Oryzias latipes: one gene and its partners. The protein of the gene in region 1 purifies or fractionates together with the protein of each later gene. This does not show direct contact. Links are inferred from orthologs where the notes say so. Each region holds a gene or a part of one and is shown in the gene's direction. Other genes may lie near its edges.

The links. Proteins that work in one complex are often made in the same cells at the same time.
Region 2: the proteins of tmub1 (region 1) and E3 ubiquitin-protein ligase RNF170 purify together in Homo sapiens (affinity purification with mass spectrometry; 3 studies listed by BioGRID and IntAct, with this or other methods). This does not show direct contact. The link is inferred for Oryzias latipes from reciprocal best matches to the Homo sapiens genes TMUB1 and RNF170.
Region 3: the proteins of tmub1 (region 1) and erlin-1 purify together in Homo sapiens (affinity purification with mass spectrometry; 3 studies listed by BioGRID and IntAct, with this or other methods). This does not show direct contact. The link is inferred for Oryzias latipes from reciprocal best matches to the Homo sapiens genes TMUB1 and ERLIN1.

The regions. Positions count from the first base shown.
Region 1 is NC_019875.2:10,863,661-10,867,413, reverse strand, and holds the start of tmub1 (transmembrane and ubiquitin-like domain-containing protein 1), read left to right. Parts: upstream 1-1,564; 5' UTR 1,565-1,985; intron 1,986-2,063; exon of another isoform or gene 2,064-2,241; intron 2,242-2,602; 5' UTR 2,603-2,619; coding exon 2,620-3,074; intron 3,075-3,753. UniProt on the Homo sapiens protein: Involved in sterol-regulated ubiquitination and degradation of HMG-CoA reductase HMGCR. Involved in positive regulation of AMPA-selective glutamate receptor GRIA2 recycling to the cell surface.
Region 2 is NC_019870.2:16,803,700-16,807,452, forward strand, and holds the start of E3 ubiquitin-protein ligase RNF170, read left to right. Parts: upstream 1-1,169; 5' UTR 1,170-1,418; intron 1,419-1,998; 5' UTR 1,999-2,022; coding exon 2,023-2,162; intron 2,163-2,659; coding exon 2,660-2,735; intron 2,736-3,314; coding exon 3,315-3,429; intron 3,430-3,673; coding exon 3,674-3,747; intron 3,748-3,753. Other genes in the region: gpn3 (GPN-loop GTPase 3), read right to left, coding at 115-162. UniProt on the Homo sapiens protein: E3 ubiquitin-protein ligase that plays an essential role in stimulus-induced inositol 1,4,5-trisphosphate receptor type 1 (ITPR1) ubiquitination and degradation via the endoplasmic reticulum-associated degradation (ERAD) pathway.
Region 3 is NC_019873.2:23,877,305-23,881,057, reverse strand, and holds the start of erlin-1, read left to right. Parts: upstream 1-962; 5' UTR 963-1,067; intron 1,068-1,133; exon of another isoform or gene 1,134-1,215; intron 1,216-1,915; exon of another isoform or gene 1,916-1,918; 5' UTR 1,919-1,934; coding exon 1,935-2,047; intron 2,048-2,516; coding exon 2,517-2,598; intron 2,599-3,127; coding exon 3,128-3,174; intron 3,175-3,265; coding exon 3,266-3,327; intron 3,328-3,399; coding exon 3,400-3,525; intron 3,526-3,611; coding exon 3,612-3,685; intron 3,686-3,753. Other genes in the region: inhibitor of nuclear factor kappa-B kinase subunit alpha, read left to right, coding at 1-35. UniProt on the Homo sapiens protein: Component of the ERLIN1/ERLIN2 complex which mediates the endoplasmic reticulum-associated degradation (ERAD) of inositol 1,4,5-trisphosphate receptors (IP3Rs).

The DNA.
Region 1 (3,753 bases):
TTTTGAACAATTTGATTTACTGAAGTAAAATCGATCAGGGATATCTTAAGCCAAAAATTCAACCAGCGTGACTCAGAGATTAACCACAGTTTTTCCGACTGGGCGGTGTCCTGTCTGACGTGGTGCTGAGTGGTGTGGGAGCCCCACAGGGCACTGTGCTCTCTCCATTTCTGTTCACCTTATACACCTCAGATTTTTAGCACAACTCAGAGTCATGTCACCTACAGAAATTCTCTGATGACTCTGTGGTTGTGGGGTGTATAAGCGGTGGACAGGAGGAGGAGTACAGGAGGCTGGTGGATGGATTTGTGGAGTGGGCTGGAGAGAATCACCTGCTGCTCAACGTGGACAAGACCAGGGAAATGGTGATCGACTTCCGGAGGAAAAGGACTGTCTTACAACGCCTCTGCATGGGCAAGGATGTAGAAGCGGTGGAGGAGTATAAATATCTGGGTGTGACTATCGACAGCAGACTGAGCTGGAGGAGCCACAGCACTGCTGTGTACAAGAAGGCCTGCAGCAGACTCTACTTCCTTAGGAAGCTGAGGTCCTTTAATGTGTGCAGCAAGATGCTGGGGATCTTCTACCAGTCTGTGGTAGCCAGCACCCTGTTCTCCTCCTTGGTCTGCTGGGGAAGCAGCATTGCAGTCAGTGACACCAACAGACTGAACAAGCTGATCAGGAAGGCGGGTTCTGTCATTGGCTGCAAACAGGACACCTTTGAAGCAGTGATGGAGAGGAGGTCCCTGAACAGACTCCTTTCAATCATGGACAACCCAGAGCATCCTCTTCACCCTCTTCTGAACAAACAGCGGAGCTCCTTCTCTAGGAGGCTCAGACAGCTCCGCTCCAAAACTGCCCAGTACCAAAAGTCATTCATACCCAATGCAATAACCCTGTACAACACACAATGCAAAAAATAACCTTTGCACATCTTTTATTACCTATTTATTTAGTTGTTTTCTATTTTGCACATTTCTTTTGCACATCTTCTACTTGCACTGTTCTGTAAATAGCTTTTTAAATTATAATACCTTGATGTCTGTATTTATGCTACATTTTCTTGTTCTTGTTTTTTTTTTTTTTTTTTTTTTACTTAATTCTTAGTCTTTTTTCCCCTCTGCTGTCAGTTGCTATGGTGACAAACAAATTTCCCACGTGTGGGATCAATAAAGTATCTCTGATTCTGATAACACCTTGAAATGATGTATTAAAAGGTAAAGGTTGAATTAGGCAGCTGACTTTAGGCAGATTAAGTAAACTAGTCGTTACATAAGAGATCTATTTTGAAACTTCAAGGATACAGGAACTATGAGGCAAATTGAGTCTCTCCCCGTGTGAGTTTAAACCACCATTACGATATGATTGACAATGTGTTTTATAAAACAATTGAATGTAATGATCGAGAAAGCTTACGTTTTTTCACTTTTTGACTGTTCCCTTTAGGGAATGTCTCCGACCATTTAAGCTGTGTGCATCTTTGCTCACACCAACCACTTCTCACTCCACGAACGTCTTTGGTCTGTCTTTCATCCACCATAAGGTTTCTCATTCATTTCTGATCAACGGCCTGAACGTGTGGTGTTTCACCAAGTACCAGCAGATGGCAGCATGCCACCATCATCGCGTTGGTTCTACCGGGAGGCCAGAAGAAGAAGCGTGAACAGGAAGTGACCATCTGGCGAACATTAGCCTGGAAGCCCACGGGCTAACAACTCATGATATGACGTTTGGACCTTAATCAGTGAGTTTCAAGTCTGTCTGTTTGTTCCGAGGCTTCCTCTTAGCCTCTGTTTGGGTCCAGCTCTAAACAAGGTTCGGTCAGGTTGTTCGTATCCCGCTCTGAACTCGTTCTCTTGTCAGAGTTGTTAGTTAGCTTCTCGGAACTTAGGTTCCGATAAAGCCAGGTTACACTAGAGACCATGGTTTGGTTCGAGTTGCATGTTTGGATCTGCACATACATAGTCCGGCCGTCCACCCTCCAGGTGAGATGTGCTTCTGTGTGTCACGTGACGTGATTAACAGGTGGCATTACAGGGCGCGTGGGGAGCTGACCTCAGTTTGACAACGCTCAGACATCGAGGAAAGATCACAGGTGCGGCCGCAGTGTAAAAGTGAAATAATGAGGGTTTGGCTGGGTAACAGTCATCTTAGTGAGGCAGTTTAGAACGGTTCAGGGTCCGGGAATACTTTGAAAATGCCACGTGGGTTATACTGGGAGTTTGTTTACAAAAAGAACAGGTGAGTGCGGAGAGGGCTTCTTCAACCACGTCATCATAGTTGTACTGCTCGCATTTTAAAGTTTCCTGGGTTTTTTTTCTTCATAATACTTTTATTAGGGCACATTGAATAAATACCTATGTAAACTGAAGCAGCACTTAAATGCTAACTGTGTTTGATACATTCAATCAAAAAATGAACAAGTAAAAGTATAAAAAGGAAACACGTTGAAAATAGATCAAAAGATCAGGCTGGTTATGGTTAGTCCGGTCAATTCTGAGTTGGTTACATTCACACGGAAAGCTAAGAGTTATTATCGGTGGTGCTCTATGACAAATGAAACTCGTGATGGCTGACGCTAAGCTCCGCCTCCTGTTTGCAGGTGTGTCATCGTGGGCGATGGCTCTAATCGAAGGTGTCGGCGATGAGGTGACGCTGCTCTTTGGCTCACTGCTGGTGTTGTTGGTGTTGCTGCTGGCATGGATCTCCACCCACACCTCTGAGCCCCCAGAGCACCTGTTCAATGCCTCTACAGACCCCACCCCCACAGAAGGCACCGTCTCTGCCCCACAGGACACGCCCCTGTCCTCCACCAGCAGCAGCTCCTTGTCTTTCTCTCCAACGTCATCCTCATCTTCAGCTGCCAGCTCTGTGAATGACAGCGTCCCGTCAGAGGCTCCACCCACGACCTCCGCCACACAGGAAGGTAGTGAGGTGGGGGGAGGAGTCAGACACAGAGCAGGGGGGGAGCCATTGTCCTCCCCAAGAAACATGGTGGTCAGACTAAAATTTCTGAACGACACAGAGAGAACGGCTCAAGTCAAACCACAAGACACCATCGGATACATCAAACGGTAACTTTTCTATCGTATCTATCAGTTTACTTTATTGTACTGCACTACATGGTATTACACTGCACCACACTTCACTGTACTACACCGTACTTTATTCTACTTTTACGTACTTCATTGCAGTACAATTTAACACAGTGTACTGCACTGCAATGGACCATATCACACCATACTTGTCTGTACTCGGTACTGCAATATACCACACTATTATCTATGTAGTATACAGTATTTCACCGTCCTTTACTGTACTTCATTGTACTACATCTTACTACACAGTACTAAAATAGGCTTCAGTGTACAGCACTGTACTACATTGCATTACATTGTACTTACTGTACAACACTGTATTCACTGTTTTATATTCTAGTATACCATCACACTACACTGGAATAAACTGTAATACATTGTACTGGACTGTAGTTTACAACACTAAACTCTAATTCACCATCCCATACACTGAACCATACTGTACAACACAACACAAAGGACTGCATTACTGTAATACGGTGCACTTTACCATACTATATTGCACTACAGAATTGCCACCTTATTCGCGCAGGGGGGGGTCAGAGGCACCCGGAAATACTGGAAGCACCCCCAACCCCTGTGGGGGAAGAATGTCCGCCACAGATCCTCACTCATCAAAAACCCTTCTGAAATATTTCTGATACTTTATAAAACA
Region 2 (3,753 bases), on another chromosome or scaffold:
GCAAAACACAATAACAAAATAAAAACACGCTGGGTGACTGACACCACCTCATGTACTGTTAGCAACAACAGACAAGAGGCTGTAGACCATCCAGTGGCATTTTTGAAAACATACCTTTCCGCTACCAGCCGGGCCCATCACCAACTGGGCATAGCGAGGCATTTTCTCTGAAAAATGCGGTGTGATAAAGATCTTAAGTATCTTTAACCACAGACGCTAGCTTGTAATGCCATACGCATCGGTGTGATGACGCTACTTCTTCTTCTCCGGTAGATGATTTACGGTCAGGCTCATTACTGCCACCTACTGATCAAAAGAGGAAATGGAAGTCAGGGTGACAGTGGTCTGAAAAAGAGCCACAATGGAATGAACTGGTGATGAATTATTACACCTTTCGCACGGTGGATGTGAAAACAAAAATGCAATCCCATCTTTGCATTTTCGCTTTAATTATGCCACAGAATAAGCGGTGTTGAAGAAGAAAAAGAAAAGCAGATTGGCTCATTCGTTTGTAATTTTATTTTTTAATTCACTTGATGCAGTTACATTTTCAAAATGAAAAAGCATTTCTGTTAATAAACTTTGATGATCAAAGAAGATATTTCTAATTACATTATGCTACACATTTAGTAAAAAATGTCGAATACCATTTTCTTTCTCATTTTAATTAAGTGACAGAATGAGCTGTGTTGAAGAAGAAGAAAAAGAAAAAGTGGTTTGGTCGGATTGTTTTTTTTTTTATTATAAATTATTACAAATGCAGCTTCATTTTAAAAATTGAAAAAGCATTTCTGGTATTGACTTTCATTTTAAAATATACTACAGAAATCTTCCATACGAATGTACTGATGATGAGCATTGAACCAATATAGTGAGGAAAATACTGTGCAACAATTGTTTTCTTTTTGTGTGTCAATTACCATTGAGTCGCAAATTCTGTGGCAGTGTCAGTTGTGGCATTTTTTTAAGTTTCCCCAGGAAATGAAAAATTTTGCTCTTTAACTTTAAAATTGCTTTATTAAAACCATATGTATTTATTTGAACAAGTCGTTTAAACTGCCTATGATATGACCACGATAACCATGAAACTTAAAGCAAAGATCATGACAATAAGTTGTTCACAAACTGGCCGTTAGGGAGCGGTAGAGCCCCAGGGATCTTTGCTGTCAACAAACGAAACCACCAAAATTGAGTAAGAAGTAGAAAGTGACTGCATCAACATGCGATGATCAGGTGAAATTTGGAAACGTATGCAAGCCTTCCTGCTCACCAAGTTTGTTGATTGCGTCCTTCATCAGGCGCTTAAATTAATAGTATGTTTCGAGGAAGTGAATGGAGTTAACAGGCCAAGTTTGTGTACAGACATTACCGCGTGACGGTGGACTTCTTAGCAGGTACTACTACTACTACTAACTATGGCAAGTCTTTGTTTTTCTATTTTTTAAAACAAATGTTTTCTTTTTTTGTTGTATTTTTTTTTGCTGTCTGAAACACGTTCATGTTAATTTTCGTCAGTGCTTTCGATTTACGTGATATGAAATAGTTTCACTTCAGGAACTACCTTAAGGTTTGTTGTTAGCATAAGGCTCTGTATTTGTTTACGAGCGATAATAATCCTCTCTTTTTTTAAATCCTAGTTATAAATGACTATAATAATCGTTTGTGTAGCGTTAAAAAGTAATGAGGTCTGAAAACCTCCGTTAAGATAAATGAACCTATAAGTAAACATTAATTGTTTACAAATGACGTTTGCTTTCAAGAATTCTCGATAAGCTGCTCAGGAATGAGGTAACAAAACCCCAAAAGAGTCCAGCTTTCAACAATTATCCACTCTCTTTGTTCTGTTAAATTGTTCACATTATATTGTTTGGTTTTTATGTTTACAATTGTGTCAAATTGTCAGGAAAATGTACAATTAAAAAGATTCTGTTCTCCATTGAAGGCTTTTATTTTGGAGATAAAGAATTTCCGGGTTTGTTTTCTCTGCTCATTTTCCAGAGTCATAGGATATGAGTTTAGGGAATGGGGGATAGTCAATGTGGAGAGCTGGACTACCTGATCCAGGATGAGGACACCATCATCGAAGGTGTCAGCAACCAGGTCCTGTTTGTTGTAGTTCTCAGTTTGACCTTCCTGGCGGGCCTCCTCACTCTTCTCTGCAGGTAATGAAGACCAACAAGTCTGTGCAAAAACTGGCAGCATTGAGTTCATGCAGTGTTTTTACTGTGCTGTTCTCTGCTGATTGGAGAAATTATGCTGCTGTTTAATTTATGTGATATCACAGATATAGGAGCTAATTCTAGAATTTAAAGCGACTGAAGTAACGCCAGATCGATCAGGCTCGTTTCCCTGCGCAACGAGCAAAATGATGGTCTTTGCGCTCCAATCAAAGTTGGCAGATCATTTTACTTACATCATCATTATGAAATTTTCTTTCATTGATCCATTTCTTACCGCAACGACGGTTGAAAACCTTTTGTCCTTCAGGCAGAAACACATAAGTGAGAATTGACACACTCAGATTGCCTCTCTTTGCGTTAATCTGTTGCAATCTTTTTGTTTTTGGATTTTTCAAGTCAGGGATTTAAGGATGAATTCAATCATATATGACATAATTCATCCTAGTGTCTGATCATTATTCTTTGTCTTCTTTTTTAAGGCAAGATGAGCAGAATATCCACCCTGAGAACCAGGAGCATGTCCGAGCGGTCCGACAGCAGCTTCAAACTGAACAGGTGCGCAACCTAGAAAGAACCCCAGAAAGTTTTTGGCAAAACCTAGACTAGTTGTAGCCACAGAGCGCCGTTTTTCTCTTCTGTTGCTTAATTCTGAGTTTCAAAATAAAATCATTCACTGCTCTATTTTTTTAAAAAATCAAACAAGTAAACAGAAAATAAATGTAGCTTGTTTTTTTTTTTTAACTCTTGGAGTTGTAATACTTTAAAATAACCTTTTTATTTATTTATTTATTTATCTGAGTAAGTTAAAACTACATTTTTAAAAATATTTATACATATACATATACAGACGGCCAGTATCTTCAGTATTGAATTGAGTTTAAACTGTTTGCTCATCGTCACCTCAAAAGGCTTTAAAATTCAGTGAGGAGTTAAGAACATATGTAAGCAGGCAGACACAGGAAATGGAGGAACTGCAGAATCAGAACCACTACATTGAAATATTTCATAACAGTGATCTTTGCAGCTCTGCAGAATCACCGATTCTATTTTAGGAAGATGTCTTTCTGTGTATTTTATTTTGTCAAACGTCCTGTTTGCAATGGTGAGACGTGTTCTCTGCGTGTGGTTTGTCAGGATGAAAACCCTCAGGCAGAGGCCAGGCAGCAGTTCTACACAGACATGTCTTGCCCCGTCTGTTTGCAGCAGGCGGTTCTGCCCGTGGAAACAAACTGTGGACACCTTTTCTGTGGTAAGAAAGAGTTTAGAAGCAAAGTATAGTTTAGGGGTTCCTCACACAATTTATTAGTGAAGGTACTTTTGATATTCTGTGAGGAAATTGTACAATCTTGTGCTAATTTCTTCTAAATCTCCTGTAAAACAGGTTTTGTTTTAATTTTAATAGTTGGAAGTTGTGTCAAACCCTCATCAATGAGATATTTTACTTAGATGTGGATTATTTATGGTTTTTAAGATGTTAACATATTCTTACACAGGCTCCTGCATCATGGCTTACTGGAGATATGGCACCTGGCTTGGTGCCATCCACTGCCCAATCTGCAGACAAATTGTGAGT
Region 3 (3,753 bases), on another chromosome or scaffold:
CTGGAGCAGTGAAGGTCCAGTCTCAGAAGCCATGAAAACTTTCCAAAGATTACAATGTCTGGCATATCAGAAACACTCTATGTGTGCCTATACATTATCCTCTTTGACAATAACGTATAAAAAGTGTTTTTAAGCTGTCCATGAAAAAATGTTAACATATTTAATGAGTGTTTTGTCCTTAAATATTAAACATATTTATTTTCAGATGAATCAAAGTGCATTATTTTTGTTAAAAGAATGTGTTAACAATGGAAGGTGACCTGACGTTTTTATAAAGGTGTTAAACACAAACATTGTTTTGTCTGAGTCATCCTTGTGAGTAATCTGAATGCCTTTCTTATAGTTAATTGCATGAAGAAGAAAAAAACAAGAAGAAATAAAGTTTTTTAAATTATTTGGTTGGAAAATCACCATAAATATCATTTTTAAACCTTAAGACTTGCATGAAGGTACCTTCTCATGTCATTTTTGCCTAGATAGATTTTGGGATTTTTACAGTGTTGTGTTATTTTCAGTTTTTATAAGTCATTTTATTTGTACTCATATTTTTGTTTGCTCTGTCCAATTATTTGGTTCCCGAATCCCTTATTTCTCATTTGTTCTTTTTTTCTTCTTCAAATTTATATCTCTTAATGAGTGATCTATGCCCTTTTTGTTTGTTTTTTTTAAACCGTCTGCCTTTTTTGTGTCATAGTTTGTGTGTCATAATTATTATAAATATTCATTTTTGAATAGGTCTTTGTCAAAGTATTAGTTTTGCCATTCATATTTTTATAGAAAAGTTGACCCTAAATTATAGAGTTTGCCACCGAATATTATTTTTATTTCTTTTTTAAAATATTTCCTGTACCAAATTGTCCAGGCTCAGAAACGCAAAATAACTAGAAATAAGAAGAAGAAAAAAACAATTTACTGTCCCCAGGACTTTTTTAAAATCGCATTTGGCTTTTTTTCGACGGTCCCTGAAGTAACTTCGATGAAGCAAATCAGCGTTGGAAGGGGAGGAGTGACGTGAGGGGGATGGTCCGTCGAATGATAAGACCAGAGTGCAACTGTTCGATACTTGGGTAATTTTTCATTTTTTAAAACCATATATTTATTGTAATGTTTCAGATGTTTAAATAATCAACAGCATTGTCCATTATGTGAATATTAGTTATATTTTATTGCCGTTTGACAACTTGAAGTTGCGCTTAGGTGCAATTTGCCGACGGAGTAAGCGATTTCCGAATCCACCCTTAGAGAAAGCTAGCTAGCTAGCTAGCTAAGCGAACCTGCTAGTAGTCTTCCGTTTTCCACTTTCTCAATGAGTCGGTCATGTTCGAGTATGCAGATTTGTATCGTTTAATTTCTGCTTTATTACTTTGTAGAGGCATCTCACTTGCTGCCTTTTTAAGAACAAGTTATAAAGCAGAAAGAAGCACGCTAGCTTTACACTTCCCAGCATTCCCATTAGTTCTCGTGTTACGCATCGAGGTTCCATTACATTTCAAAACTGATCTTCACCATGTTTAACAACCAACGTTTTACTTGATTTAAATTGTAGGCCAAAACATAATAAACAAACGTTCAATCTTTTTTATTATTGGGCTGTTTTTGTTACTTTACAGATTTAATACAAAATTGATTCACCCTGCAGCAAATTTGGTTCAATGTGTATATTGACACCTAAATTGCACATTATGCGTACTTTAAATTATATTGTGATGCAGTATTGTTGCTAGAACTCTACAAAACCTTAGGATTTCGACCATATTTTTAGTGTTTTCTCGGGTGTGTCAATGTTTTCTTCAGATAAGTGCGGAAAGGTCCCCTGTTTTTCTGAGTCTGGGACTGTGGGTATTTTGATTCCCTTTCAGTCACTGCTTATCGTTGTGTAAATATTTCTGCTGATTGACATTTCCTTTTTTTCTGGCAGGTGTGTGTAAGTGAGGATGACAATGCCGCATGTGGGGGCAGTATTTGCAGCAATGGCAGGAGTGGTTGCCCTCATGCTGCACTCCTCCATTCACAAGATAGAGGAAGGACACCTTGCCGTCTACTACAGGTATTTCATTCGGTTTTTTTACGTCTGTAGTTTGTGAAAAACACCTGTTTTTCATAGTTGACATTAATATCTACCAATTGGGACCTACTTGTTTAAAGATAAATCCCAATGAAAACTGGATTTTTTTTAACACTTTCTTGTGGTATTTTACTCATGATGGAGGACATATATGAAGAAAATTAAGTTTAAAATTGTGGTTCTGCTTTGCAGAAACTGTCCCAGAAAATGACATAATCATAATTAAAAGACCACTTGGAATCCTTTTCAAACAAATCAATAGATGATTGCAATGGAGCTTTAAAGGATTTTGAGAAATTTAAATATACTTTACATCTGGTGAGGCAGATTATAAACGCAAAGACAATATGGAAGCTGTACTGGGAACTCGTTCATTTATTTATTTATTTATTTGTGTATGCGGATATGCACCAAGCAATGCTTGTTTTTGTTTTTTTTGTTTTTTTTCCAGAGGTGGAGCTTTACTAACTACTCCCAATGGTCCAGGATATCATATCATGTTGCCTTTCATCACCACATACAGAGCAGTGCAGGTAAACAGATACTTTTGCACTGAAACCCAACTTGTAGTAGATGTTTTTTTTTTTTTTAAACTAAATTCATTTAAAACTTTCGTTGAATCCGCTTGGTCCAAACAAGACTCCCTTGGGAGGTGGAGGTGTTTTTGAAAAGTTCTCAGTCAAAATTTATGATTAAACATATTTACTCAGCAAGGATCTATAATAAATAAAAAATAAATTTTGCACCATTTAGTTGCATAATTCTAAAAAAAAAAAAATTTTGCTTTTGCTTTCAAAGCTTCTTAGCTGTAAGGAACAAATTTTTATTGAGTGGCTAATTCCTCTAACTATTTCTGATCTGCTTAAACTTGATCCTTTGGACATAAATAATACAAATGTAACACAAATGAGAATAATTGAATCAAATGCTATATTTTCCACATTTGTGATATTTCTTTTTTCTAATAGATTTGGGATAATGTTGTCTCATTTTCATGTGTTTAGTTTTATTTCTCTCAACTTTAACATTCGGGTCAAAATATGTTTGAACTTTTTGTTTTAGACCACGCTTCAAACTGATGAGATCAAGAATGTGCCTTGTGGGACAAGGTATGACTGTTTACAGAGACACATTTTCAGAAGTTAATTACTCTTTAGATACTATTTGTTTGAATTAAACCTTGTTTTTTTTCTGTAATAGTGGTGGTGTGATGATCTACTTTGACAGAATAGAAGTTGTAAATATGTTGGTCCCTACAGCAGGTATGGTGTATTCAAATCTTTGTGATTGCAAACGTTCCTGATCGACTTTAACCACCGTGTCTTTGTTTGTAGTGGTGGACATTGTGAGGAACTACACGGCCGATTATGACAAAACTCTCATTTTTAACAAGATTCACCACGAATTGAACCAGTTTTGTAGCGTCCACACACTTCAGGAAGTCTACATTGAGCTGTTCGGTGAGAGGCTTTGACTGCTTCAATAAGTGTTCCTTCCTAAAACTCCAAATAGTTTGTATTTGAATAGTTTGCCTTGTATCCTGCAGATATTATAGATGAAAACCTCAAAACTGCACTGCAGAAAGATCTGAACGCTATGGCACCTGGACTTACAATACAGGTATGTAAACACACTTCATAGTGATACAGCATGCACTTAAATTTAATAATATTTGATATTTTAAGGGA